Linked DNA regions of Caenorhabditis elegans. The protein of the gene in region 1 purifies or fractionates together with the protein of each later gene. This does not show direct contact. Each region holds a gene or a part of one and is shown in the gene's direction. Other genes may lie near its edges.

Region 1 (11,061 bases):
ATTTTTTTGAGTTTTTTGGTCCAAAATCTTCAAGACTTGAGCTCAAAAATTTGAGTTAATACTTCAAAAGTTTGAACTGGAAACTCATTGTTTTCGGCCAAAGTTTCAACTATTTTTTGTGGAAAACCAAGCTGGAGTTCCTGAGTTTTCAGCTAAAATTTTAATGAATTTCAGATATTTCAGGCTAAAATTTCAAACGTTTTAACGGAAATTTCAGATTATTGAAGCTAGATTTTCAGAGTTTTCAGCTAGGTTTTCGATGTATTTCAGAGATTTTCAAGCTTAAATTTCAGATATTTGTGTATAGCCACAAAAAAAAACAATCTCGAAAAATTCTTATCAATCCTTCTTCTTTCCATTCACTTTTACTTATTTCGAATGATATGAACAAATGTAGGTTATCAGCAACGAGAAAGTGATTGCCTTAACTATTTAATCTTCAAAATATTATTCACCAGCTATGTTTAACTGGGCATTATTTATTGCACTTGCCATTTGCCCAAACCAATTGAATTCATGCATCCCGATTTTGCCAGACCCATTAGCTACCAAAATTGTAAAGCTTCCAACTACGTAAGTTGAACTTTTAAAATCTTTTTGAAACTTTGAACTTATAGACCGAAAAGTGCTCAAATGGACGCATTTCTTTATGAAACTTCTCAAAAGTTTGTTAAAAATTTTTTTTTTAAATGGTGAATCTTAGGCCTAGGCTCAGGCTTGGACTAAGGCTTAAATTTAAACTTAGGTTTAGACTCAGGTTTAGGCTTTGGCTTAGGCTAAAGCTTAGGCCTAGGTGTTGTCATATGCTTTAAATGGACCACTGTGACATGGAAAAATAGCAAAAGTTTTGCAATTTTATTTTCGAAATTTTGAACTGCTATTAAAAAAATTTCAAAAAACATTGGAGAATTTTCTTTAAAAAATTCGAGCACATTTTGGTCCATACAAAATACTTTTCAGGAAATGCACAACTTGTGGAACAACGACTAAACCAGTGCGCGTGAAGCCAGTGCTAACTACAACTCCGGGAGCAACAACTGTGACCACCACCACAGCTCCAACTACAACCAAGGCTCCGGATTGCACGACCACCACAGCTCCAACTACAACCAAGGCTCCGGATTGCACGACCTGCTCACAAGACATTCTTACCGATCCGATGCTCGCTAACGTCCATTGTGCCTCAACTGGAAGTACGGTAAATGGTTGTGCTACTCTCCAGATATTTTGTGAAAATATGGGTTGCGAGACGGCTGAGCTTTATGTAAGTTTTGAGAAAATGCTCGAATTTCTTATAAAAGCCTTCAGATTAGAAGTGAATCAGGCGTTGTTACCAGGACGGGCAGTAGTACTGGTAACGAAACCGATACTGAATTGCGCTGCCAAGCGGATGGGGTATGGCAGGATGGTGCAGCGTGAGTCTAGTTTATGAATATGTGTCTCAAATGTACAAGCTGACTGTTTTCAGGCAACGCGGCGTTGAAGTGACACTGAAGCTTGTAACACCATGCTGAGAATAATCTTGGGAATTTAATTCAGTTTTGCTATTTTATAATATAATAAAAACTTATAGACATCAATTCATTTTTATTGACCCTTCGCGTCTAAGGCTTCCATGTAAGGCAGGCGCGGTTGAAGGACCTTTTTCGACGCGGCCGACATTTTTCTGGTTTTTCGCCGCACTATAGAGGAGTTGAGGCTATCGGCGCGAGGCAGGCAGAGGTCGCGGCAAGCGTTTTAGCGCTTTTTAGGATTATTTTTAGGATTCTGGGGTTTTCAGCTGACATTTCAAATATCCAGATAACTCTCTGCGAGAGCAGAGAGCTACAGTGCTGAAAGGAGGCTGAGCCCCAGCCCCTCAGGAAAAAGCTCATACTCGCAGCCCTTCGCAGCACAGCTTCAGCCCAGTTCAGCCCTTCGCAGCCCTTTAGCAACATCAATCCAATTTATATTCAGTTTTATGAAAATTGGCACGGGACATCATTGAAACTGTGCTACTACGGGGCTGCGGGGGCTGCCCTATTTTTAGGTGATGCTTTTCAGAGCTAGAAGTTCCAAAGCATTAGGTTAGAGCTTCAGAAATTTTGAATTTTTGAACATTTATGCGGAAATTCTCGTTTTCAACTTCAATTCTAAATATGATATGTTGACAAAACAATTTTATAACCAACACTTATCATTTCTCGCTTTCCCTTTCATCTTCTCCCGAACGCCTGTCAAAAGTAGGTTATCATCCACAAAACAATGTGAATTGTCTATCCGGACACGATTACCACCACAATTGCAGTTCAGATTTTCTAAGAAAATTTTTTTTTAAGAACTCAAATTTTTTGAAAAGATCCTACAGGTTGGTCATCATTTCAGACATGCTTTGCAATGTAACAATGTTTTTTTTCAACACTTCATAAGAACTTAATTTGCAGAAAATGTCAACATTCAACATACATAATAAATTTCAATTGATATAATAATGTTAAAACCACCCCGAAACATTTCAATAACTTAAGAACCGCGATTTAAAAAAAGTCAACACAGAATATGTAAGATCAACGATCATTGGAAGCCCGTGGAGACATGGAAATCGGCGACGTCGACTGTGAGGACTGGGCTCCCGACACGCTGTTGAGCATCGCCAAAGCTCTACTGTAGTGGCTCCGTTCGAATTGATCTGGAAATTCAGGAATCGTTAAGATCTAAGTGGTGAGCCCAAACCTTTCAAATGACTGATATACTCTCTCGTCGGGTTCATCTCTGCGGGCTTTGACTTTTGGCGTTTCAGTTTTGTGGTGACCGCCAGGTCGGCGCAGGCGATTTCGATGATTTTCTGAAAAATTTGAGAAGCTAACTGATGGCTCTGAAGTAGGCCTTCCACGAAGGCGAGGCGCGAAAAGGGCACACCACGCCCGCCCTACTCCCGCACGCTCGCTCGCGCGCACTATCACACACTGTATACTGCGGCCGACGCTATGCGGGACCTCGCGCCACTTTAGCTGTGTGCAACAGAGAAGGGTGATCGTGTGTGGCGGCGGGCGGGGGTGTACCGTGTGGCGCGGAACCCTGAACGTGTCGGCTGCTTCCAAATAACTACCTTGTGCACTGGCACTGCTTATGGTTAGCGCACAACTATGATGTGCAGCCGTAAACACCGGAGTTCACGCCTAAATGCTCAGCGCAAAGAACGGCGACAAAGGCCGACTCACCACATAATCCATCGAATTCATAACCTGAATCTGCGGCACCGGCACCTGTGGATGTATCAGCGCAGATGAGGGAACCACCAGCCAACAACTCGACGGAAGCAGTCCCTGACTGAAATGCATGGATCCTTGCTGATTCATGCCTGTCGGCTCGATAGGCACGTGCACAGCCGGCGGACACTCCTTTTTCGCTTGCGCTGAGCAATTCGTTGGTATCATTTGGTGACTGTAAATTTGAGAATTGAAAGCCTGAGCGAGCTTCAAAAATAATAAAAATTTCCGGGAGAAATTGGAGAGTAGCTAGCTTCTAGGTATATAATTATTTCTAAACAAAACAAAATTATAGATTGCGGAGTTAAGAAGTTTTGAAAAAAAAGAAGAAGAAGTTTTGACGGAAAAGCGAGAAGCAGGTGAAAGTCTCATTCTGATTAGCTTTGTTTAAAATAATTTTTCGCCTCGGTTTGACGTCACAAGTAGCTCTGAAAAATGCACAAAGAGCACAAGAGTCATAAAATTCTGTACGCCCTTAGGGTTGCAGACAAACCGGTGGAGAGATGGCCGAGCGGTCCAAGGCGCTGGTTTAAGGCACCAGTCCCTTCGGGGGCGTGGGTTCGAATCCCACTCTCTTCAGTTCTTTTTTGTAGCTATTTTGCAGTGAAGCGTTGTGAAAATTTTGTGTTTGAAAGAATGTAGATTTGTTTGGGGCCGTCTAAGCCTTTTTATACTTTATTTGGCAGAATAGTATATTGAATATATGTGGAAAAATATTGTGCAAAAGATGGGAGACCTATATGTAAATGAAATGTGGCATGGGAATCGGGAATATAGATCTGATATTTTAGATCGATGATTAAAAAAAAGAAATTGAATATAGAAATAAGCGTAGCCGTTTTTGAGGTGAAATTCTAAGTTTGGACCCTGATTTAGACTAAAATGACACTTCGATGCACCATGTTTCTCGGACGTTATCTCCCATGTTTTACATTTTCCCCCTGTCGGCTAACCGCTCCGCTCCTGATGTGCCGCCGGCGGAGAGATGGCCGAGCGGTCCAAGGCGCTGGTTTAAGGCACCAGTCCCTTCGGGGGCGTGGGTTCGAATCCCACTCTCTTCAGTTCTTTTTTGTAGCTGATAACTCGTTATCTAGCCTACACAACTAATATTAGCAGGCTTATCTGTTCAGGTTTTCTCAAGGAAAAGTTTGAAATTCGAAAAGTTTGAGTCTCCCACAAGAGCCAGTCACTCATTTTGGCTATTAATTTTCAAATAAAAATTTGGGGGGACCCCTGGAGAGTTGAGCTCGTCAAGTAGCAGAGGGGGGAGCAACAAAAATTTGATAGAATTAGAGAAAAACCCCCGAGCACAAGAGAAGGCTCAAACAATAAAAGGTGTGGTGGTGTTTATGGTGCGCTGGCACACACATCTTCTCTTCTTCTTCGCGTTTTTTATGCTCATTTCAATTCATTTTTTGTTCGCTTCTTCTTCTTCTTACTCTTCGCTCATCTCTCTGCGTCTCTGCGCTCTCTCACCGGCCGCGGTTTCCTTGACGACGCGCTGGGCTCCAGCTAAGATGGGGAAGAAGAAGCTTTTGAGTATTTCTTTTTTTCCTTAGCTCCCCCCGGTTTTGTTGTTTAATTTTCGATTTGACCTAATTTCCAGCCAACTATGGAGAAATTTGGGAAGCTTGTGCACTATGTGCAGCACAAGATCTCCGGCACCTACACACAGATCAGCACTTTGGACCCGAACGAGACGGTCGTTAATCAGTAAGTTATTAGTAGAAAAATCGATGAAAAAAGAACAAAAAAAGATTTACCCAAAAACACAAAAAAAAAACGTTTTCAAAAAGGCTCCCGCCATATTCAAACGGTACTTGGCGCGCGCAGTGTTCGCCAGGGCGACCTCTCTCGATGTGTCTGCGTCTCTCCGTCTCTTGGCGCCTATCATCATCTGCCATTTGGTGCGTGTCAGTGTGTTTTTTCCTTCATTTTTTGTTTGTGGGGGGTTGGTGGTCAGTGAGTGGACGGACAAGTAGAGACGCAGACACATTGATGCCCTTTCCTTTGGAGGACGCCGGGGGAGGAAGCGATCAGTTAGGATGGAAATTTTAACTTTTGAAGATTAAACGGAAGGTTTTTGGAGTCTGGTAGGCCTGCGCAAGTTTCATGAAGCCTATTTCAATAGAAAAAAGTTTGAACTAGAAAAAAAGACGATCTGAAATTGTTTCAGGCCATTTTTTCATCAGTTTCTGAAAATTTGTCTTAGCCGTGTTTTTTTTTTCATGGGAACAATTTGATACATTTTCCAAAAAAAAATCTAAAATTTTTTGACGCGGCTTATAATTAGGCTTAGGCTTAGATTTAGACTTAGGCGTAGACATAGGCTTAGGCTGAGGCTTAGGCCTAGGCTTAGGCTTAGACTTAGGCTTTGGCTTTGGCTTAGGCTTAAGCTGAGGATTTGGATTAAGCTTATGCTGAGGCTTAGGCTTTGGCTCAACCCTAGATTTAGGCTTAGATTTAGGCTTAGGCTTAGGCTTACGGTCAAGCTCAAGCCCACTGTTTTTGAGGAAAAAATGACCTGAAACATTTCAGTTATAAGCTTCAAGAAAAAAGTGTGCCCTGATTTTGAGCGTCTTTGAAATCGAAAACCAAAACGAAAAAATTCCACTTTATTGCACCCTCTGAGGTTTTTATGACAATGGGAAGGACACACAGACTGGGACGCTTTTTTTTCATTGTACTTCGTGCAAAAAAATATTTATTGATACAAAAAAACACAAAAATTATTTGTTTCCCAACTGCTAGTAGTAGATAACTGGGCAAATCTGGAAAAAGTTTATGTTTTCTCAAATTTTGAAAATTAAGATTACCTCCGAATAAATCGACATTTGACCCGGGGTCAGCAGGCTTTTGAGCTCTCTGATTAAACTGCAAAGTGCATTTTTCAGATCTATCACTGGATTTGGCTCCGGGACAACGATTCCCTGAGCTTGGGCCTGAAAAATAGATCGGGATACTGTAGGGTTACTGTAGTGGTGATGTAGGATTACGGTAGTGGCTCTATAGAGTTACTGTAGGATGACTGTTAGGTTACTGTAGTGGTATTGTAGAATTACTGTAGTGCTGATGTAGGGTTACTGTAGTAGTACTGTATAGTTACTGTAATGGTACTCTAGGCTTACTGTAGTGATACTGGATTAATGTATTGGCAATGGAGGTCTACTGTTATGGTACTGTAGTGGTGATGTAGGGTTACTGTAGTGGTATTGTAGAATTACTGTAGTGTTGATGTAGGGTTACTGTAGTAGTACTGTATAGTTACTGTAATGATACTCTAGGCTTACTGTAGTGATACTGGATTGATGTATTGGCAATGGAGGTCTACTGTTATGGTACTGTAGGATTACTGTAGTGGTGATGTAGGGTTACTGTAGTGGTATTGTAGAATTACTGTAGTGCTGATGTAGGGTTACTGTAGTAGTACTGTATAGTTACTGTAATGATACTCTAGGCTTACTGTAGTGATACTGGATTAATGTATTGGCAATGGAGGTCTACTGTTATGGTACTGTAGGATTACTGTAGTGGTGATGTAGGGTTACTGTAGTGGTACCATAGAGCTACTGTAGGGTCATTGTTAGGTTACTGTAGTAGCGACGTAGAATTACTGTAGTGGTACTGTAGCATTACTGTAGTTGATTCCGACTACCATGATGGGTACTGTATGCTTGAACTCACCGAAGCACAGATAACACACAGAAATGCACAGAAAATAATGAAATTCATAGCGAAAATTTCAGTGTTTTGATAAAAATGAGCACTAGGCTCAACTTTATATGTACTAACTTTTTGCGAAAAATAACTCTAAAATTTTAATAAAAACATGTTTTTTTTTCAAAAACAAGGAGAACAATGAGAATTTGGTGAATAACATTATTCAAATCCACCGATAAAAACATGTTTTCCAAAATTTCCAGACTCCAACGATCCCGCTCCACCCACGGAAAGATCGCGAAGCCGATGGTCGGTCGTGCTGGCCACGTCGACACCGTGAACAACCTGACCGTAATCCGCGCCGGGATGATATTGTCAGGCGGGAAGGATGGACGGGCGGTCCTGACAAACACCGACAGTGGCGAGATCCATAATATGTGGTCCAACTCGTGCGAGATCAATAAGATCTGCTACCGTAACTTTATCGCCAAGCACTCACTGATTGCTGCGGGCAGGAATGGGACTCTGACCCATTGGATGTTCAACCACGAGCCTGGGGATCTTCCGAACGTGGTTTTCGATGGACACAAGTTCGGGGTGACCGGCGTTGTTAGTATTAATGGTGAGCATACTTTCTATAGGTTCTGCAAGAGTTTTCAATTTTAAATTTCAGAAAACCAATTTATGAGCGGATCCCGTGACTGTTCTGTGAAGATCTGGGATCTAGAATCCGCGAAATGTGTACGCACCCAGACCATCAATCGTAACCTCGTCACCCATATGGCCTACAACGGAAACTTGGTGGCTCAGACGTCGGAGGACAAGAGCGTCAGGTTGTGGGATCCGCGTAACGCGTCAGTGGTGACCGAATTCCCGCGAAAACGGCACATTCAGATGTTCTGCGAGTTTGACGGTGCGAATCGATTCTTCTCCTGCTCAAACGGGTTCAACAATGACGGGTGTGAGATTACGGTAAGACATTTGAAGCAGGGACCAGGAAAATGTCGGGCGCTGTACGGCACCTTTCATCGTAACTTTTGATCTTTTGACCCAGTATTCTAAATTGTAGCTGAGCCCATACCTGGTACCCCTTTTTGGGCTGAGGACTGATTATGAGGCGCCTAAATAAAGCTGACCAGCTTGTGAGCCGGATACTTAGACTAGCTGAGCATGATTGGTATCAAGTCAAAGTGTAGGTATAATTACGATCCTGAAGAGCAAGCTAGGATAATGTTTGGGCCAGACTGGCATAAGTCTGAGCCTAAGATTCGCAGAGTTCCTGGAATGCTAAGGTTCAGTTTCATTTGATCTAAAGCGCAGTCTTAATAGAACTTGTGAATGTTTCAGGCCGATTAATAAGCCCCTCTGTAATCCAAATTTTCCAGTCCTACGACGTCCGCAACCCCCGCCAGTCCAGAGAAGCCCGCGGTCACGAGGGCAACGTCACCTCGCTCTCCATAGTGCAAATGGACCAGACCAAGCGGCTCCTAGCTTCAGTCTCGGCTGACAGGCAGATCAGGCTATGGAAGATTGAAGAGGACGGGCAGGCTGGTGAGCTTAAAATCTGAAAATGAGCAAAATTTGTGAAACTCTGATTCCAGTGCTAAAACCAATCTGGAACGAGGACGTGCCACTGGAAGCGGATAATCTTCAAGTCTGCAGCTATCCGGATGGACAGTGAGTTCCTAAGGAACCTAGGGATCCTAAGAATCTTGAGATGAGAAAATCTAATTTTTTCAGCATAATTGTGTCGGGTGGCAAAGGCCGTCTCATCCACTATCAGGCGAAGCTCACGGCGCAGCGTGTCATCCTAGACGTCCAGCTCATCCAGCAGCACAGTATGGCCATGTCGGGAAGCTCCCACGCACTTCACTAATTTTTTTTGATCATCTGACATTTCTGTACACTTTGTAGATTTCTTTCCATCTCGCTCTGTGATCTCTTTTTCCGCGCCCTCACCCCCGTTCCTGTCTCCCCGTGTAATTTTGTACGAGCTGAGCCAATTTGGGCTCCGATTTTTCTTATCATCTTCTCCTATATGAATATTTGGAATATTTTGGTACATATATTAATGAATGAAAATTCTGGAATTTTTGAGTTCAGGCTTAGGCTCAGGATTAGGCTTAGGCATAGGCTTAGGCTTAGGCCTAGGTTTGGGCTTAGGCTTAGGCTTATGTCTCGGATTATGCTATTTTAGAGAAGTCTCTTTTTTGCATTACGGCAACTTTCTACAACTTTTTGACTTTTGAAAACTTCATCACAACAAAAAACTACAAATTCCGAATTCCCCAGAAAATGAAATTTCTAAAAAAAAAAGAGACAGGAAGAAGCCGCCGAGATAAAACGGCGAAAGACAAAAAGGTTCCGATTTGATTTGGGAGAGCAGGGAGGAGGGCTCACAGCTTCCATTCAATCAGTCTAAACAAAACAGAAGAAAGAAAAAGAGAGCTTTTGTTTTTGCAATTTTTCAACTTTTTTCTCGAAAATCATGCATCACAATACTTTTTTTTTCTTTAAAAAATTTCTTGCTAAGGACAGTATAAATTTCGACTGGGGAGGTCTGGCTACATAACTAATACTAATAAGGCTAATACTAATACTAATACTAATACTAATACTAATAACTAATAAGGCTAATAACTACTACGTAAGCTTCATGGAGTTTGCCAAAAGCTGTAAAATCTTGCAGACTGCCCCAGACTCAAGGACCTCGAGGAGGCTTCTGGGCCTGTAATGAGACTCTAGGGCCTGGCAAAGTTTTTTTAACTCTCGATGAGGCTCCTAGACTCTGCTCCGACCACTTTTGCTTAACTTGCCCAGCCTGACCACTACATTTCCCAAGTTACATTATCCAGGGGGAAATCCCTCTCATAAAAAATTCAAAAATCTCGGGGAATGTATTCCGAAAAGTACTACTCTCGTTGATTAGATTTCCGAATGTGGGTTCATTTTCATCCCTCCTCCTCCTCCTTTGCTAGAAAGGGTAGAGGTGGGAATTTCCTGAATTGTTAAATTTTCTGTTGCGTTTGGTTCAGATCTGTGTTGCCAGCCGGATATCGGGTTTGAATTATATTTTTGATTCAAAAAATGTACTCAATAGGTCAAACTGGTTTTCGTCTACACCCACCCTGCCTAGACCCCCATTTTGTCAACTTTTTTATAGAATAATTATGTATGGTTTGTTGTTTTTTTTGTCAGATTTTCATTGAATGTTCTTCAAAAGAAAAATTTCGATTTTTTTTTTCAGATATCTGTTTCCAAAAACAGGAATAGTCAAATAATTGCCAAAAATGAAGGAAGTTGCCACAAGTTATAGAAAAGTTATTCCATCCCTTTCTTACAACATAATTTTCGAAAAAATTATTTTGACACCGAATTTGTTTATTTTTCCAGTTGTGCAACTAATTCTTCTGTTTTTCAAAAGTTTTAAAGGCTTCTCAGATGTTTTTCGCAGTTAATATTTTTTGGCAATTTTGGCAATTTTTTTTGGCAATTTTTTGGCAAAAGCAACTTTTGGCAAATTTCGGCAGTTTCCATCAACTTTCGGCAACTTTTAACAATTTTTTGAAAATTTTTTGTCAATATTCCCCAATTTTAAAAGTTTCCTTGCATCATCTGATGATCCCAGAAGCACATATATTTTCTTAAAAAAAAAAAGAAACAAAAAAAATTGAAACACATGCTTCTCCTTTTTGTCTCTCAATTTTTCTTGTTGGTTTTTTTTTCTGCTGCCCCGTGTCGAGCCAATTGCCCTTTGCTCCGCGAGAGCACAAATTTGATAGAAGTTCATTTATCTTTTAGTCGCACACACAAAAACGGCAATTTTTCGGATTTTTCCATTTAATTTTTGATTTTGGTTGCCGAAAGTTGAAAGTTGCCGAAAATTGACGGACGTTGCTGAAATTTCAAAAAAAAAAACCTGCGAGCCTCTATTACACGTGGAGAGGGTCCTGTTACTACGAGAAAAAACTCAAAGATCTTGATAGAAGAGGTAACTGATACTCTAGAAAAAGGACTTTGATCGCGAGTTTTTTTTTTGAAAAGTACGGATTTTCGCCAGTTTCAGGCAAATTTTGACAAATTACGGGCAACTTTCGACAACTTTCGACTAACCCCGAAGAAATTTTCGGAAAATTTTGATACTTGTTGGTAG
Region 2 (8,991 bases), on another chromosome or scaffold:
CTATGCATGCTGTTTGTGGATACAAAGAAACTGAACCATAGCTTGCATCTACTGGTTTTTTCTGGTTGGCCTTTGCCTATTCACGTTTTGCATTCCACCATTGTCGGGTGTAGGTCTCCGTGATGCGGGGCAATATTTCAATTGATTCGCACTGGCACGTTTCTGGAAAAAGTTGAACTTAAATTTTTGAAATTTTCACAAAGTTCAAGTTTAGATGGTAGGTGTTTCGAGAAAAAAATTGTTTTTAATTTATTTTCCAAAGATTTTGATTTTTTCAGCATATTATTCCGGTCAAAATAAGTATAATCATGGCATACTTCTGATAACTTTGAAATTTCGAGAGAGCACAGAGAAACGAGACACTCTCGCTGTCTGCGCCCTCTCACTCTCTAGCGGCGGGTATAAAAACGGCCATAACTTTCTTAGTTTTGGCGTGGTTTTTGTGATAATTATATCTTTGAAATCAGAGAGTCTAGGCGGTTCGAATGAGTGTAAACTTGAATAAAATAGGAAAAAATTTTTTTTGAATGTTTGGAAAAAAATTTGAAATTTTTATCAAATTTTTTTCTTTTCCTCGAAATTCTTTTCAGGACTTCCTCGAAATTCTTTTCTGGTTTCTGGACCAATATTTTTTGCCAAATCAACACAGTTCCTGGATGCTTCCAAATCAAGTCTAGATAACAAAATAATTGAAAAATTTGAAAAATTTAAATTTTTTCGATTTTCAAAATTTCAAATTTTCCTAAAACTACCATAACTCCTTTATTTTTGAAGCAATTATAATTTTAGATATATTTTTGAAATTAGAAGAAAATTTTGAACACTTTTTTTAAAACTAAATATAAGTATTTAATGTTTCTGACAAAAAATAAGAACCTTACCAACACAAGTTTGTGTGCACACTTGTTCTGCATTGACGAAGGCTACAAAACATAGAGCTAGAATAATAAACATTTTGTCTGAAATGGGGGTCTCAGTATCAGTATTTATACTAACTTTCATTATGAGAACTTCTCTGGTGAAGAAGGAAGTGGAGATTTATGGATGGGACTGTAAGGGACAGCTTTTTCAGAAAAGTTACAGCTGTCTTGAGAGATAAATTGGAACTTTTTTGTGTTTCTGCATCAAAAACCTCATTTAATTTTTTTTGAGCGTTTTTTCATCTGAAAAATACTGAAATTGTGCGAAAAATCGGAAAATATCCTGTGTCCCAAAAAAAATCAAATTAAAAAAATCTTCATTTTTCAAAAAATATAAAAAATTACAAACTTTTATTTTCATTTCAATGTTATTCTTAAAATACATTTTTGAACTGAGAATTTCAAATTCTACAAGTTTTCCTGCAAAGATCACGTAGTTCAGATTAAAATCTGATTTAAAATTGGGATTATTATGGGGGTTTTGGAAAAAAAATTGTTTTTTCAAATTAAAAAAAAAAAATTTTTCAAAAAATATTGGCCCATATTTATTTTAATCTAAAAATTTGAATTATACACATTTTTGCGGTTCAAAAAAGTATAATCATGACGTTATTCCGATAACTTTGAAATTTCGAGAGAGCGCAGAGAAACGAGACACTCTCACTGTGTGCGCCCTCTCACGCGCTGTGTAAAAACTACCATAACTCTGCTAGTTTTAAAGTTAGGGATGAGATATATATTTTTTCAAAATCAAGAGACCGAGGCGGTTTGAATGAGTATAAAAATTAGCGAAAAAAACTGTTCCCAAAATTTTTTTTTTGTTGCGATTTTTGTTTAATTTTTTAAAATTTATACTATTTAAGTAAGTTCAATTAAAGGTGGACTACGCCCAGTGGGGAAATTGCTTTAAAACACGCCCATGGGGCCACAATGACCGAATATCATGATAAAAAAATTCAAAAAAATTTTCTAGATTTTATATGATTTTTTGAAAATGGGAAAAATCTCAGTTTTCACCTAATTATTTTTGAATTTCCGCCAAATGGATTTGTTCGGTGGAGCGCGCTTGCATTATTTTTTATTTATTTATTTTATTTATTCTCGTTATTTTACAGTTTTTCATCATTTTCTATGTTTTTTTCTAGGAAAATGGAAGAAATAAACAAGACAAATGCAAAATGTTTGTTAAAAAGTAACTGAAAATGATTAAAACTGTGATATTCTTTGTTCCGACGACAACAAGCCTGAAATTAGTATATTTCACAGTTTTAAGCATTTTCAATTACTTTTTAACAAACATTTTGCATTTGTCTTGTTTATTTCTTTTATTTTCCGAGAAAAAAACATAGACAATGATGAAAAACAGTAAAATAACGAGAATAAATAGAATAAATTAATAAAAATAATGCAAGCGCGCTCCACCAAACAAATTCAATTGGCGGAAATTCAAAAATAATTAGGTGAAAACTGAGATTTTTCCAATTTTCAAAAAATCATATAAGATCTAGAAAATTTTTTTGAATTTTTTTATCATGATATTCGGTCATTGTGGCCCCATGGGCGTGTTTTAAAGCAATTTCCCCACTGGGCGTAGTCCACCTTTAAAAACTCATTCCAACTACACTCTAACTTCACACCTCCTATACTTATCATACTCACCCCTCCGAAGAGCAAACATTTTGCTCTTTAGCACTCGAAGCACACACACACAAACCACACATTATCACAAAACTCCGCCTGTTTCATGCCCAGTTGTTGGCTGACAAATGATAAATCTCATCAAAAATTGTATATATCACGGTTCATATAGTATATAATAAATGCCAAGAAAACTTGAGATCAGTAAAATCTTGAAAATTTTCAAAAAATCTGAAATTTTTGTCAAAAAAAGGTAAGTTTTCAAAAGGGTTTTTTGTAGTTTGTAGTTTGTAGTTTGTAGTTTGTAGTTTGCAAGCTGGTTTCATAGGAAATAGTGAGGCTTTAACTTTAATACTAAACTTTAATGTATCCGACAAAACTTTGCTTTCTTAGTAGTTTGTAGTTTGTAGTTATTGTAGTTTGTAGTCATTGTAGTTCATAGTCTATTGTTTCCAGAAAAATGGGAATTTGCTGCTGTAAAAGTGAGACTTTCGCCGAAGAATATCAATTTTCTCCGCCGCCAGAGCTCACCGGAGCCCTGGAAATCAATGACAAACTCCAAAAAGCTCAGCATACTGGAGGGACAGGTAATTGGACCAGAATCTATGGTAGTTGATGATGAAGCCATTTATGTATCTGTAAATGACGCAAAAGTGCTGAAAATCGTGGATGGAAAGGTTCGGGCCACTGCGGTGTACTCGAAGAATCCGATTTTTCCGCCGAATATGACAAGATTCGAGGCTGAAGCGATTTGTGGAAGACCCCTTGGAATTAGGAAGCTTGTGGAGGGAACTAAGAAGTTTGTACTTGTGGATGCGTATTTGGGAGTTTTCATTATCGATTTTTCCGATGAATTGAGACGTGAGTTATTTAATTTTGATTTAGCAGTTTCGCAACGTTAATTTTTGAATTCAGCGTGTTTTTTCGGTCAATATAAGTATAATCATGGCACATTTCTGATAGTTTCGCAATTTCGAGAGAGCGCAGAGAAACGAGACACTATCGTCGTCTGCGCCCTCTCACTCTCTCTCGCCGGCCGTAACTTTTTTCGTTTAGAGTGATATTTTAGATAAATATATTTTTGAAATTAGGAGGTCCAGGCGGTTTGAATGAGTATAAATTTTGGCAAAATTAGGACAAAATTTTTTTTTTGAAATTTTGAAAATTGTTTTTTCAAAAAAATTTTTTGCCTCGTAGCACTTTTTCAACCTGATATTCTTAGAACCTATATTTTCCAGCAAAATCAACACAAATCCTGGACGCTTCCAAGCCAATCGACGGATTCAGGCCCAACTTCCTCAACGACCTGGACGTAATCTCAGAGGACGAGCTCATCATCACACACAGCTCAATCCGACATGACTGCCGACACTTCTTCAATCTAGTGCTGGAACATCAGGGAGACGGTCGCATTTTGCATCTGAAAATCTCGACTGGAACCGTAAAAGTGTTGGCTAAAAATCTGTACTTTCCCAATGGAATCCAGCTGACCCCCGACAAGAAATCGGCGATTTTCGCCGAATGTTCGATGGCTCGGATCAAGAAATTGGATCTGGAAACTGGAAAAATCGATATTTTCTGCGAAAACTTGCCCGGGCTGCCGGATAACATCCGGGGAACTCCACGTGGCACATTTTGGGTCGGGTTGGCGGCGACTCGCTCGAAAAATTATCCGTCTTTGTTGGATCGGTTGGGAAATTGGCCAGGTGGGTGACTACAAACTGTAATGACTACAAACTACAAAAACTACAAAAACTACAAACTACTATACAATGATAAATACAATCAGCGAGCAGTCCTCAAATCTGTAGAGTTTTGAACAAAAACTGTCAAGTTTAATAGTGACCGTCAAGTCTGTAGTTTGTAGTTTGTAGTTTGTAGTTTGTAGTTTGTAGCTTGTAGTTTGTAGTATGCAGTATGTAGTATGTAGTTTGTAGTTTGTAGTTTATAGTTTGTAGTTTGTAGTTTGTAGTTTGTAGTTTTAATAATATGTACTTTTCAAAACCGATCAGAACATTTTTCGAAAAAATTGGTACATTCTGTAGGTGACATGAATTGCAGTTTATAAGTTGTTGTTTGTAGTTTGTAGTTTGTAGTTTGTTGCTTGTAGTTTGTAGTTTGTAGTTTGTGGTTTGTAGTTTGTAGTTTGTAGTTTGTAGTTTGTAGTTTATACTTTAAAATTTCGGTTTTACAGTCTGTAATTTTCAAGCTTGTTTATTCGACCTAGTGGGAATGCAAATAATTTTGAAAAAATTAATAAAATTCTTTCAAAAGCAAGGTAAAAGACTACAAATTACAATAACTACAAACTAAATTACTCTAAACTACAAAAACTGCAAAAATTACCAATTTTCTATAGAAAAGTGCAATAACAGCAATAACTACAAACTGCAAACTACATCAACTACATCAACTACAAACTACATTAACTTCATCAACTACAAACTACGATAACTACAAACAACAATAACTACAAACTACAATAACTACAAACTACAATAACTATACACTACACCAAACACTTAAACTACAAACTACAACAGCCAAGGACATACATATTATATTAGGCAAGCATCAACGAGTTAATGACTACAAACTACAATTTAGTACACTACAATAACTACAAACTACAACAATTTTTGCAGGAGTCCGTCAATTCTTTGTCGACATTGTCCCGGCGGCCCATTGGATGAAAATTCTCGTCTTTTCGAAACATCCTCACTCGATAATTGTTGAGTTGGACTCCAACGGGAAAATTATCAGAAGCCTGCATGACGTCACTGGAAAACATGTTAGTGACGTGTCACAGGTCACAGAACACAATGGATTCTTGTATTTGGGCAGTTTTGCAGACACTTATATTGCTAAAGTTGAACTTTGATTTGAATATTTTTAGTGGATTTTTGAATGAAGTTTTTTTTTGAAGTTTCAAATTTTTCAAAAAATGTTCAAATTTTTTTTCTTTCTTTGAAACTTAAATTTTCGAAATCAGTATGTTTTCCCGGTCATTTTAAGTATAATCATGACCTACTTCCGATAAAATTTCGGCTATGAGAGAGCACAGAGAAACGAGACACTATCGCTGTCTGCGCATCTCCTCTCTCGCCGGCGGGGTTTAAAACTACCCTATCTCTGTTGGTTTCGTGCCGAGACCCGTGGTATGCATACTTTTTGAAATCAGCAATTCAAGACGGTTCGAATGAGTATAAGGACTTCGTTTCAAAAAATAATCATTCATTTATTAGTGGGGAGTTTTGAATTTTTATTTTACAAATATGGTTTATAGAAACTTTTAGTTTAAAATTTTTCTGAATGTTTTTTTTTAAATTATACTTCTGAATACATATTTTGAGATCTTAACTAAGTTTTAAATAATCAAATTTTTTTGAAATTTTCAATTTTTTTCGAAAATTTTGAAAATTTAAAAATTGCAATTTTTCCGGAATTTTTGAATCTATGTTTTTTTAAATTATAATTTTCGAAATCAGCGAGCATGTCCGGTCATTTTAAGTATGATCATGACATATTTCGGATAAATTTGAAATTTGGAGAGAGCGCAGAGAAGCGAGACACTCTCAGTGTCTGCGCATCTCCTCTCTCGCCGGCGGGGTTTAAAACTACCGTAACTCTGTTAGTTTTGCGCTGAAACCCGTGGTATGCATACTTTTTGGAATCAGCACGTTAAGACGATTCGGATGTGTATTTTAGGATTTCGTTCCAAAAAATAATAATTTATTACTGAGTCGCGAAAAATTCAATAGACTTGAAGGCATCCTGCCGAGACGATTTCAGAGCCTTTGTAGTGATACTTGTCAAGAACACAGTCCACATCAGGGAAACTGAGATCTTCGCGTGGAAGGAAGTAGGCCGGAAACTCGGCTACCTGTAAAATTTTTCGATTTTCCAGTTTATCACTGGATTTGCATTAGTTCACCTTTTTATCGGCTGTCACAATAACCAGTGTAGAATTGGAGATTCTACTTTTGTCGCCAGTTGAAGTAAAAAGACATTCGGTAGATGCTGAGCATGTCTTTCTATCATAAAGCATTGTGTAGCCAATAGTTCCACTTGCTTCTGGAAAACCGCTCTCTTTGACTGCCTCGTCACGCTTCGCGTACCACCAGTCTTTGGTGTAGGTCTCAGTGTACAATGGGATGTCTGTTGTGGAGCAGTTACATGTTTCTGGAAATTTATGAAATTGAAATCGGCATTCAATTCCGGTCATTTCAAGTATAATCATGACATATATCTGATAACATTGAAAATTCGAGAGAGCGCAGAGAAACGAGACACTCTCACTGTCTGCGTCTCTCATAATGCCTCGTCGCTTGCTAGACGTTCGATTAAGCTTCTGTTATGTATTTTTTAAACTCAAAAAATCAAAAAGGTTTTAATCAATTTAGATTTGAAATAATTTTAAAAAAAAAATCGAAAAATTTATTTTTCGAAAAATTTATTTTTTTTTTTTTTTCTAAAAAAAATTTTTTTTTTTGAAATTTTTATTTTTCTAAATTTTTTTTTGTTAATTTTCATATTCAGCATGTTTTCCCAATTCGAATAAGTATAATCATGGCATATTTCTGATAACTTTGAAATTTTGAGAGAGCGCAGAGAAAAGAGACAGTCTCGTTGTCTGCGTCTCTCCTCTTTTTCGCCTCGTTGTTAAAGCTACCGTAATCCTGTGGCTTTTGTCCGAAGACCCTTGATATTTAATTTTTCGGGATCACAATGAAATTTTGAATTGGATGAATATAAATTTGGAAAAAATTTTAATTTTTAATTTTTTTTTTTTGAAAAAAAAATCATTTTTTCTTCCAAATTCCAACTTTTTACAAGTTTTATTACAAATTCAAGTACAGCAAGTTTTTTTCGATCAATTTAAGTATAATCATAGCATACTTCTGAAAACTTTGAAATTTTGAGAGAGCACAGAGAAACGAGACACTCTCACTGTCTGCGCCCTCCCTCTCTCCGTCTCCCTCGGCGGGGTGCAAAAAGTACCGTAACTTTTAAAATTTTAAATCCAGGAAAAATTGTTACGATTTTTGAAATCAACGCAAAAATTGGGTCTAGATAGCCGAAATTGTTGGAAAATTTGAAAAAATTCGAAATTTTGAAATTTTGAAATTTTCCTCGCTGTGTAAAAACTACTATAACTCCTTAATTTTTTGAGCTATCAAAATGTTAATTATATTTTTGAAATAACAAGAGAATTTTGAGTACGTTTTTTAAAGTATTTAATACTTCTGATAAAAAATAACAACCTTACCAACACAAGTTTCGGTGAAAGTTTTTTTGCAGACGAGTTCTGCATTGGCGAATGCTCCAAAACAAAAGAGAGCGAGAATAATCAACATTGTGTGTTTTTCTAAAAAGGAGGTCTTAGTATCAGTATTTATACTAACTTTTATTATGAGAACTTTACTGGTAAAGGAGGAAGTGGAGGTTTTATGGATGGGACTGTAAGGGGCAGTTTTTTCAGAAAAGTTTTCTTGGGAGATAAGCTGGAACTGTGGTATTCTGAGCAAATTGAAATATCCTTTTTTTAATAATGGACTACAAACTACAAACTACAACTTAACATAATTTTTAGGTGACTACAATCTACAATAACTACAAACTACAGTAACTACAAACTACAAAAGTGAAGGAAAATGAAGCATGGTTAAATACACACTGAGATAGTATGTATGTAATAACAAGTGACTACAATTAAGTTAACTATGACTACCTTAAATATTTACTATAAACTACAATATGTTTGACTACAAACTACAATAACTACAAACTACAAAAACAAAAAGCTGAAAATTTCCTGAATTCCAAAAAAAAATCAATATTCAATATTTATACATATTTACAAACATTGTTACAATTCAATTTCAAAGTATTAATTCTTTAAAAGCTACTCTAACTTTAAATTAAAAATTGAAGAAAAAATCGATATTATTCCACAATTCGTTGTCGCTGGAGCTCGGGGAATTTCGATGATTTGTTCTGAAAAATTTATTTTTTTTTTTTTGAAATTTCTACCCAAAATCCAAAAAAAAAACTAACCACTCCAACAGTAATAATAACCGAATGCCTTCTCTCCGGATACGGAGCCACTGCCGGCTCCGAGAGCTTCCTCACCGGCGTAGTTGCTCCAGAGGTACATGGCGTCGGTGGGGTTGTGTAGGATTTGAATTTCGGGGTGTATTGGAAACCGGCAAAGTCGGATACCATTTCGATGAGGTCCTTCATAGTTTCTGAAAATTTGGATTTAGTTTTGGAAGAGGACTCGTGAAAAAAACGTAAGAAAAGTGGGAAAACATAGCGGATTTATGACTACAAACTACAAAAATGTGTGACTACAAACTACAAACTACAACTTAACATAATTTTCAAGTGACTACAAACTACAAAAACTACAAACTACAAAAGTGAAAGAAAA
Region 3 (10,744 bases), on another chromosome or scaffold:
CTGAATCGTTGACGAAAATAGTTTACTCGTGATTTTTCAACAGCCAGATTTCACAAATGTTCACTGAGTCAACAAAAACAAAAAAATTATTGCGAAAAACGTTGGTTATTATTGTCATGTGTAAGAGCATCACTATTAGATAGAGAAAATGAACAAAAATGAGGTCCATCTATTCAGCAATATTTCAACTTCTTTTAAAAAATTGTTCTTTGTTTGCTCGATGTGCTGCGACCCTAGATTTATTAACAGTCGCAGATTGGAAAGGTTGTCAAAGGCAGGGGCAGGGAGTGCGCAATAAAAAGAAAAAGAGCAAATTTGACAATCCGATTGTTAAACTCTTGTTGCAGAATCAGCCTAAAAAACGCATCCGGAGAGGAAAGATCGCGAAACAAGAAGTTGAAGCGCCTGAGGATAGGGATTATCTAAAGAAGAAAAACGAAAAAAAGGGAGGAAGTGAGCCAAGTTAGATGTTTCGTCTTCTATTTTAAATCGAATTGAAATATAAAGCGAGGGACTTTCTAATCGATTTCATAGGTGATATTGCATGGGAAGGAGGGAAGTCGGCCGTACTCTGACGTGATGGGTTGGGTGTAAACGGTGCTTCTTTCGTCGCCCATCATCTAATGTCAGAGTAGATGAGACGCAGGATATCCCACTAGCGAGAAGCAGATCCCTATGACCTATTGGTGAAGTTCACGGAAAATGCACAGAAGAGACAACGAAAAGGAGCAATCAATTTGAAACGAAAGAAGAATGAAGATACGAGGAGGATCTACTGGCTCGTTTTCACTTTTTTTTGCAAATCTAATTCCTACTCAAAGTTTCGAAAAAAATTGGACGAATGCCAAGGGTCGTCTAGCAGACAAAAATGTTATGATTCAAAATAAGGCGGAGTCTTAAGGGTACATTGAAGGTCACACGTCCAATGCAGACGCTCTTTCTCTTTCGCAATCATTCGGCCCGCGCACAAAGAGCGTATATTGTTGCTCTCATGACGTCACCGTAGCTAACAGTGTAAGATGAAAAGTCTCTCTACTTATGAAATTTATCCTGAAAGAGTCGAACAACGAGCACACAATTCTAGAGCTTCTTCTCTTCTCAAAACTCAATAGAATGCGACGAGCTCATGGCTGGAAAGATCATAGACCAAATCTTTTTCATAGAAAAGTTGGAGGATGGGGGTGAATGCATAACTTTGAAAACAGACATTCATGTTTTGCTTTCGCCGAATGCCATGTGAGCCAAAACAAGGTGCCACAAGAGAGAAAATTACAAAATAAAGAAATATTTAATGAATCTAAACTTTGGAATGCGATAATTCCGAAAGGAAGTAATTTTTGTCTAGATTAATGAGGTTACCTCTTTAGTGTAGTGGGATTTAATTGTATTCGATAAGAGCATTCTAATAATACAAAAAGAATAAAAACTTTAGCCTTCAACTTATGAATCAAACTTTTTGGTCGATAGAATATCAAACACATTTGCAAAGGGGCCCGGAATGATGCAATAAAGAGGAGACCAAAAGTGCAAAAGCAAGTGAGAGAAAACGGAGAGAACATGCTACGGTAATATTTCTTCCCGGTTGAACTTTCTTTGTTCGCCAAAAGTGACACACAGTAACCTACACAGAATAAGAATACAATATTTCAACAAAATCTTTCGAAAGACTGATAGAAACAAGCACTTTTATACATCAAAAAGAGACAAAACATCAGTCTTTCAGTGATTCGCTGGATTATTTATAGACTATTTCTTGCGATTTTCGAGCTGAAAGAAACGGAAGAGGTTCGAGAGAAGAAGATTGGATGAAGAGACGAACAAAACACACCCTCGCACATAATCATTTTCGTCACTTTATGATGGACCAGCCTCTCAGAATAGAATCGCATTCTTTCTAGACATTATATTGTTGTCTGTGCGACAATAGAATTTTCTAGAAAATGTTCGCTCCGGTGACCTCTTCAGTTTTAAACACAACAAAAATATAACAAATAACTAAAGTAGCAGTTTACGTGCAGTTGGTGAAGAAATTCGTAGCAAAAAATGATACAGGAGCTGCTCGAACAGCTGGTCGAAAGTCGCAATGAAGAGAAACACTTGGCGGGAAATGAAGGAACTTGAGAGAGAGAGAGAGAGAATAGATTCAAAATTCGAACGGGAAGGAACAAGGAACGAAATAATTGCGAACTGATTTTAGAAAGAAGAAACATTTTACACAATTTCATAGGCATATGGTTTTATGCCAGTCTGGGTCCAAACTCGTTGTGGACAGAGCTCAATGAGGTGGCCTTTCCCAATGCAAGCGACTGGGGTCTGAATTAGATAGTATGCAAAAAGCAGAGGGGACCAGCTGGCATGAAGCCAAGTGCGAGCAAAATAAAGGGAGCGAGAGAACTAGAGGGCGCAGAAAAAACGATGGAAAAGCCGAGACGCGCGACGACGGAGAAGAGCTGCTCGACAACGATCCACGACGAATAAGACCAGAGAAGCGGCAGATTTTTTCGTTTTCAAATGGGCAATCGAACGGAAAATGAGCACATAAGACATGGAAGAATTTAATCTGCTTTTAAAGCGACCCCTCTTTTGCATCATCTACTACAAATTCAAGAAATAAGAATTATAATATTTTAAAATTATGAAAAATCAAATAAAACAGCAAAAAATAGCCGAGAAGAACATACAGCGTGGGAAAATATATCGTGGGAAAATTAAAATGATTTGAACCACAATTCTGCATTTTACCGTGGGTTACGGTAGGCTAAGTGCACAAAATACACCAAATCTTACGACGATTTATTTGTTTGGTAAAAAACATTTTTCCTGTTAGTTTTTATTTTTTTTTTTTTCTCCTGGAAAATTGGAGTTTTTATTTTTTTTAATTTATGGGGTTATTCAAGTAGTGTCGTGAAATTGAAAAGTGTATTTCAATACACTTTTTGCCTTATTCAAGTAACATCAAAAACATATATTTCAATACAGTTTGTGACGTAATTTCGCGACATTTCTCGACATTTCTCGACATTATGCGACAACCAGAAAGCGGACAACTGAATGAAAAACACAGAGAAAGGTGTCCCCGCGGGTGAAAATCCATACAATTTGCCGTCGAAGGAGAACAATTCTGATAAATCCACTGTGGAAAAATGTCGAGAAATGTCGAGAAATGTCGCGAAATTACGTCACAAACTGTATTGAAATACATGTTTTTGATGTTACTTGAATAAGGCAAAAAGTGTATTGAAATACACTTTTCAATTTCACGACACTACTTGAATAACCCCATTAGTTCAGTTCAAACGGACGTAAAAAAGTTTTATTTTCATTATTTTTCAGAAATATGTTTGACTTTCAACCTGAATTTACTCACTTCAATTTTAAAACTGCGAAACGTTTCATGTCGAACATTTCCAATATATTCAGATTTTTATTCTTTTGTTTTGAGAAACCTCTATAATGAAATCCTGAAAAAAAATCTAAAAAACTTAAATTTTTAGTTTATGTGAAATATTGAAATTTTTTGAATATAAATCTTTTCTCCCATATTTTGCCGGTTTTTCGAGATAACCAGAAAACCTGGATTACCGAAAACGCAGAAAGGGTTCTAAATTTACAGATTAGAAAGAAATTCTTTTGAAAATGATTTAAAATTGATTACACACGCCGGTCCACGTGTCCTTAATTTATTTGAAAACATATTTTTTCATCCAACAATAATTTTCTTCTCATTTCAGAACGCTTCCCTTTCTCCATGTCTCTTCTCAACTGCTATGGTCTTCCGGAGGCACTTCAACGTGGCGACACACCTACAAAACAAAGGTTTGTTCCAAGTTTTTCACTACCGATTATTCATATTCGACTCATTTGGCATTCTGAATGCGATGCAATGATTCGAAGGCAAACATCCATTAAATTTCGTTGAACGTTCCTCTTTCTTGTTCGGTTTTAGTAGAAAACGCTGATTTTTCAATCCGGAATCCGTAGAGATTTTTGACATTGACACAGGCCGGCTGTCAGTCAAAATCATCACTGTGAAGTTCTGTCAACTTATTCGTTCTTCTTTTACTACAATTTCTGAACGTATTATTCAATTTTATTTCCAAAAACATTAAAATATTTTCATTTTCTAGTTTCAACAGATTTGTCCGTAATCAAAAGTTCTTAGTCCATGATTTTGGCCAGCTTTCGTCAAATGTCTGGCTTCTATGTCGATCATTATTTCCAAAAGAGACTTAAAAACGTCGAATTTATCTTTTGAAAGAGTGCAATTTCTAAAAGAAGACTGACAGTCTAAAGGGTACTGTAGGTTCACAGAATGATGTGATAATGAGATGCAAATAAAATGTGTCGGCCATTGTCAATTGTCACCTTCAAATGTCATTCAACCTGGGAAATCGTTCGAGGACATTGAAAAAACAGTTGGTCATGCAAAACCTATTTCAATGAAATACATCAGAAATGTCTACTCTTTTGGAATGAGAAACTGAAGCTAGAAAGCCCACGCCAAAGTACCCTCATAATTTCCTCATTTCTCTTCCGGCTACCATTAAATGTGTGTTGTTCTTATTTTCCTGTTTTGTATTGGAAAAGTAAAACTATGCCGTTGAAGTTGTAAAGTCCACAAAAGTTTTGCCCACTACTATTGAGTCATCAAAAGTTCCCAATTCAAATAGAGATTTTATGTTTGGAGATTGGAAAACTCCGATGGTTCTCCAAAAATTATATAATATACAACTTCGTAGTTCTATCGAAAATTCTGGTTTTAACCGTTATTGCATATTTAAGTTTTGAAAAATGATGTTTTGTAGATTATGGACGATTGAAAGTGGAGAATTTTGTGATGAGACGTATTGAAAATTTCTCAAAAAATTGTTACGGCGGATCAAAGTTTTGAAAAGGGTATTTATATTTTCAGCTAAAATCGAAAATTTTGACCCGCCAGAATTATTTTTTGAGAAATTTTCAAAATTTCTCATTACGAATTTCGGTTGTTTTGTGCTATTAAAGTCTAAAAATGAAAATCGAGATTTTTGTACTCCACGGTGGTGAACCTTCTAGACCTACTAGGGTTACTGTAGGCATTGCATATTTGAAATAAAATTCAAAATGCTTGCTTTACGACAACTTCCGGAATCATAGATTCTCACCCAATTTGCACTCATCTCTCTTGGTCCTTCTCATGACTGCTCATTATCAAATCCTCGTTGCCACACACACACACACACACAATCCATGCCCTCCCGCAACTCACACTGTCTGCGTATCTACATTCTATATTGCTCTATCATCTCTCCATCCATTTCAACTGCTACCTATTCTTCTCTGCGTATCCCCCTATCCCAATACTCTCTCGTTTTGCTTCGTCCCCAACGCATGATGTTCATTGTGTGTATGTCTCTTCTCTTTCTGTTTCTTCGGGGCCAACTGCGTGAGAGAGTGCCGCGCCACAGCCTATCCATCATTAAAATTCGCTAATTTCCCACCAACCACCAGTCTAAAAATCCTTTCATTCTTCATCCCGACTTCATTACTGATCCGATCTGGAAATCCAGGTAAATCTCCGAAATCTCATAAATTCGTTAAATTTGTGTGTTTCTATGCGGAAACCGAACGGGAAGCGGTGAATTCAAAAATAGAATTCACGAGACAATGCGATTTCATCAGAAAATTTAAAATTCCTTACGCGTTTCGCAACTTTTCGGCCACAATTTCTATGAAAAACTACCATGATGATGTTCTTTATTCGTTTGAAAAAGTGAGCCAATGAACTTCGCTTGCTTTCATTTAGTTCACCACTAACCCAGTTTTACGACTCATTAAACCTTCCTTCTCTTGCAGATCGGGAATTTTGCCGTCAACTCCACGCCGAACTTCACCGCCTTCGGGCGCCATCGTCTCTTCCGGTGGAGACGAAAAACGAAAGGATCCACAACCATTGTTTGCAGTTATGGCCAGTTTTCTCGATTTTCTGCAGGTCAACAAGCATAAGGTAATCAAAAACAAATTTTTGATTTGAGATAAATATTTTTGTTGGCTTTTTTTCTTTATTAAAAATAAGAAAAAAAACATTATTTTGCATCGAAATTGATAAAAACCAAAGTCCGGCACTGAAAAATGTGCGTGGTTTAAAGACAAATGCGCTGTAATTCAAATTAGGAACATTAGAAAATTGAAAATTTACCGAAATTAGTAGTTTTCTTTTTCAAACTTAATGAGTGTTTTCTTTTAATTTTTTGTGATATCTTGGCATTTGGGACCAAGCTGCGTAAATTACCATTTTCTGAAATTGAACGAAAAGTATTTTGTTTGTAGACATTCCGTCCGAAAAAGAAGTTTCCACAAGGTACACTCCGCTACAGTCTTCACAAACAAGCAGAAGCAACTCTTCATTCGGGTGTAGATCTTCGTCATGCTGTCAAACTGCCACCAAGTGAGAACTTTGATGATTGGCTGGCTGTACATAGTAAGTTTCAACAAAAATGGTCCAGTTTAAATTTAAAACTGAATTTTCGTTCAGCTGTTGACTTTTTCAATCGAATTAATTTGATGTATGGAACGATTTCTGATGTATGCACTCGTGAATCTTGCCCAACTATGTGTGGAGGATCCCGTTATGAATATTTGTGGCAGGATGGTATTGAGTATAAAAAACCGACAAGACTCCCTGCTCCGCAGTACATGCAGGTTTGTTTTTGCGTTTTCTGTAACCTAATACCCCTCTCTTTCTATTTGCACCCTTCTCACAATTGTGTGATTTCGGTAAACTGATACACCGTTGTTTCAGCTGCTAATGGATTGGATTGAAGTTCGCATTAATGATGAGCACATCTTCCCATCAAGCACAAGTAAGATTTGATTTTGTACGATATATATAGTTAATTTTATTGATTATTTCAGATGTATCATTTCCAAAAGATTTCCGTCAAATTTGCAAAAAGATTCTCACTCGCTTGTTCCGTGTCTTCGTGCACGTCTACATTCATCATTTCGATCGGATTCGAGAATTGGGTGCTGAACCACACGCCAATACCCTTTATAAACATTTTTACTTTTTTGTGACTGAATATGGAATGGTGTCCACTAAAGAATTGGAGGCATTGGTAAGTTATGCAAATTTGGAGCACACTTTGAAAAAAAAAGAGAAAAGTTTTACCAAAAACAAAAAAAGATATGTTCAAATAATTATTTAAACTGTCTCACGAAACGCAAATTTTCAATTTTTTTCCCCTCCCACTTTTCACGCCTAGGAGGATTTTTTTTTATTTTTTAAGAAAAGAGCAAGTTTAAAAATAGTAAATTTAAAAAACACTATTGGAGCAAGGGCGTCGCTTTTTCGATTGCAAAATCCAAGAGCGAAGATTTTTTTTTGATTTCTCAAAAAAAAAAGAAGGACCCAACAAAAAATGTTTAAAAAATAAAAGAAGTTTGTCCTCAATTTTGAGGAAAATAACTTGATGTTCTTCAAAAAAAAATTAATCTGTGATTTTTTTTTCAAATAAAAGCACTTGTTTTTTTTTCAGAAAGACATGACTGAACGTCTTCTGGAGCCATCAAATCGCCGAGCTCCAATTCCTTCTGCCAACGCATTCCGGTCATGATTTTTGTTCCATTTCATGTCATTCTTCTTCTTTTTCCTGAATACCAGTCATTTTCGGTTGTGAACCATCACTGTTTCTGCTTTCTGTCTCAATTAAAGTGCAACTTTTCCATGTTCAGTTCAACTTGTACTTCTCATTCTCTCCGTATTCCCAACGATTTATCGCATGTAAACAGTATTCATCCAAATCGTTTCCCCTCTATTTCTACTTGCCTTCCCCGTTTCTTTGTTTCTTTATGATGCAAAGACTTCCCGCCAAAGTGATTTCATTTTTTTTTTTTTAATGATTTCATTTTTTTTTATTTCTCGAAAAAAACTTTTATTGAATTTACTCGTTTGAAGTAACCGGTGATGATAAAATGTGTTTGATGCGTGACGCGATTTCCACTTCAGAACGTAGGAACCATTTGGAAATAAGACGTGATAGTGCCAAATGAAGAGGAATAGGCATTTCACGGATACATTTTAATAAAAACCAAAACGTTGGAGACCAATCCTGAAAAAATGGAATTTGGAGTAATAGAGCAAAACTGATAATTTGAAATCATGTTATTTTGAAAAACTGCGTTCTAAAATCTACTGTTTCAAGTTCGCGATAAGTGGAATACGTATTTCGTTATTTTCACTAAACTGTCAATTATATCTTCATGCAAGTCACTAAACTCGAATTTTATTTTTTTGTTTATACAAAATCTACACTAACAATTCTTCACATTGAATGTATATTATCAAATAATCATTTTTTCGGGTACATCTGCTCAACAATTCCAAAATTTCTAACCTTTTCAGTTTGATCCCAATTCTGTAAAACTGCAAATATTTCCTCTTTATGCGTCAATTGATGAAATGTCGAATGAAAGAACAAATCAAGAAGACGTATAATATCTCGAAAATCTTCATTCTAAATTTTAATCAGATTAACATTTTCCTGAATCTCTCTCACCAACTAACCTCTAATTGACGACTAATTGTAGATATTGAGAGCCCATTCTTCACTTGATCCATATACCAAAAATGAGTTTTTTCATGATCATCATCATTTAATTGAGCATTTAATAATTGTTCATCGAATGATTTATTTTCAGGTAATGGCCCTTCGCATTTAATTTTCATACGGTAATCGTTTTCTACTTCGAAATTCACTGATGAATACATTTTTTGAAGTGTTATTCGCATTGCAATGTAAACTATCTGAAAATATGTTATTTATTTATTTAGAAAATTTAAATACTTACTTTAGGAATTTTACCGTATAATCTAGATTCTGGTTTACTTATAAACTTTTGATTGTATGCCACATATTCCGAAATATGTGTCATTTTATTTTTAGGAATAATCATCCCTCCATTGTTCCTTATTAGAAGCTGCAATATAGAACTTTTGTGATTGTATATGATTACGAACTTACTCTGAACTCATGCAATGTTTTCACCTGTTCCTTACTTTGAACAGCTTTTGCACGTCTACTTCTGACTGTATCAACTGCTTGACTCGGAGACATTCCCAAAGCATACATCATCCATGCAGCAATCACCATTCCAGTTCTTCCGTGACCCGCATGACAATGAACTGCTATTTTTCCATGGGATAATGCAAAATCGACCACTTTGACAATATCCAATAGACGATTTGGTGTGCATGCTTGGAAGTCGGGGAGTGGGAAATTGTAGTGATAAACTGAAGAAAAATGGAAATAATTTAAAGCGTAGTTCATTCATTAGACAAGTAAGAAGCTGTTGCACATTGAAGTTTTTCATGGTCATGTTTCTGTAGTTTCTTTATAAAATATTCTGCCAAATAGACAACATTGGGAAAATGTCGACAAAATATTTTCAACTCATGTTTAGAAGAAAAATTATTATTTAAATGTTGGAAATATTTTCTCGTTGGACCCTACTCGTTCAATAAACATTTAATCCCAAATACATTGGTAGTCACAAAAAACAGAAATCCAAATGTGATCTAGTCAGGTTTTTTTTGCATAGACGAAAAATACATTCCAGCCTGTAAGGCGATCTACATCTTTTTGGACAGACACGTGGGCCTGAACGTGCCTACTTGCAATCGAGCGTTTATCAATTCTTTAATATAAAGTTAACTCACTTCCATTTCTCATCAAATTCTCTGGATCATAACTAAATCCACTTGTCAGATTACCGCTTCCACAGAATGAATGCTCTCCGCTTTCTTGAAGATTTATGACTGATTGTATTCCATTTCTAAAGAATAGGAACAATGTTTATGAATAACAGAATATGATCGTTTCCAATCATCAGTCCGCTATCAACCAAATTGAGATAGAACTTACGTTTTGAATTTCTCCACAATTCCCAAACTGTCAAAGTGTTCAACTTGAAGTCGTGCCATTGCAAGAATATCAGATGTTATCCATGTTGAATATAAACCATCTATTGCTTGAATTTCAGTTTGACCAGTTACTACGATACAGAATCTACACCGGGGACCACTACAGTATAACCGACATTTTTGGTCACCAGGTGTGAGGCTTAGGATACCAGTACGCAGAGAAGAATACGTTGCTGACGCTGAAACGTAGAAATTGGATAGGAACAAAGTTCAAAAATAAAATAAAGCTTTAACAAACCTTTTTCTTCATCTTCTAACTTATAATTATCACTTTCACCAGAAAACCATAATTTCGGCATACTCATTTACCATCGCCTTCTTTTTCTTCTTGACACTTATAAAAGAATCAAGAGTCGCTTCCTCTCTTCTTCTTTTTCTACATTTTCTTGAAGACGACTTGATATGAAAATGGGAGGAGTGTGTAAGTGTGTATGAGCATGCTGGTTGTAGTCAAAAAAGGAGAAAGAGAGAGTATCTATGGCAACGCTTCCAAAGAAAAACGAGAATCCGTCGTTGTTGGGCAATTCAGAAGATGGAAAAAGAGAGACACGCGTTTTTCGTCGCCAACGACTTCCGGGGAACATCCACTTTACTTCTGCTCTCATGAGTTTTTTGAGCATTTATTTATGACTAATAGATTATTTGGAGTTGGTCTGAAAAAAAAAATTTTATAAGGCGTAGTAATTATTAAACTACCGTCTTTAAAGTTTGGTGGTAATAATTTGTTATCCAAATGAGCATTAAAAACTTTTTTTTTTAATTTTAACCATGTACTTTCCGTGA

What was found.
Region 2: the proteins of wdr-31 (region 1) and C08E8.2 fractionate together in Caenorhabditis elegans (co-fractionation; one large-scale study listed by BioGRID). This does not show direct contact.
Region 3: the proteins of wdr-31 (region 1) and mob-3 fractionate together in Caenorhabditis elegans (co-fractionation; one large-scale study listed by BioGRID). This does not show direct contact.

Annotation. Positions count from the first base shown.
Region 1 is NC_003280.10:2,729,042-2,740,102, reverse strand, and holds wdr-31 (WD_REPEATS_REGION domain-containing protein), read left to right. Parts: upstream 1-4,810; 5' UTR 4,811-4,860; coding exon 4,861-4,961; intron 4,962-7,171; coding exon 7,172-7,530; intron 7,531-7,581; coding exon 7,582-7,880; intron 7,881-8,293; coding exon 8,294-8,459; intron 8,460-8,509; coding exon 8,510-8,585; intron 8,586-8,648; coding exon 8,649-8,784; 3' UTR 8,785-8,998; downstream 8,999-11,061. Other genes in the region: T05A8.6 (DUF281 domain-containing protein), read left to right, coding at 461-573, 618-665, 961-1,264, 1,309-1,415, 1,469-1,514; T05A8.8 (Mediator complex subunit 15), read right to left, coding at 2,547-2,668, 2,713-2,824, 3,201-3,416.
Region 2 is NC_003283.11:18,349,958-18,358,948, reverse strand, and holds C08E8.2 (Strictosidine synthase conserved region domain-containing protein), read left to right. Parts: upstream 1-3,106; coding exon 3,107-3,419; intron 3,420-3,796; coding exon 3,797-4,264; intron 4,265-5,203; coding exon 5,204-5,439; downstream 5,440-8,991. Other genes in the region: C08E8.11 (Salivary lipocalin), read right to left, coding at 6,313-6,441, 6,493-6,740, 7,828-7,915; C08E8.3 (uncharacterized protein), read right to left, coding at 8,505-8,555, 8,616-8,801.
Region 3 is NC_003282.8:7,381,931-7,392,674, reverse strand, and holds mob-3 (MOB kinase activator-like 3), read left to right. Parts: upstream 1-3,731; 5' UTR 3,732-3,748; coding exon 3,749-3,816; intron 3,817-5,406; exon of another isoform or gene 5,407-5,549; intron 5,550-5,835; coding exon 5,836-5,986; intron 5,987-6,309; coding exon 6,310-6,460; intron 6,461-6,514; coding exon 6,515-6,681; intron 6,682-6,781; coding exon 6,782-6,842; intron 6,843-6,894; coding exon 6,895-7,097; intron 7,098-7,517; coding exon 7,518-7,595; 3' UTR 7,596-7,919; downstream 7,920-10,744. Other genes in the region: ptp-8 (TYR_PHOSPHATASE_2 domain-containing protein), read right to left, coding at 7,923-8,090, 8,376-8,495, 8,546-8,785, 8,830-8,958, 9,003-9,271, 9,698-9,813, 9,903-10,140, 10,200-10,260.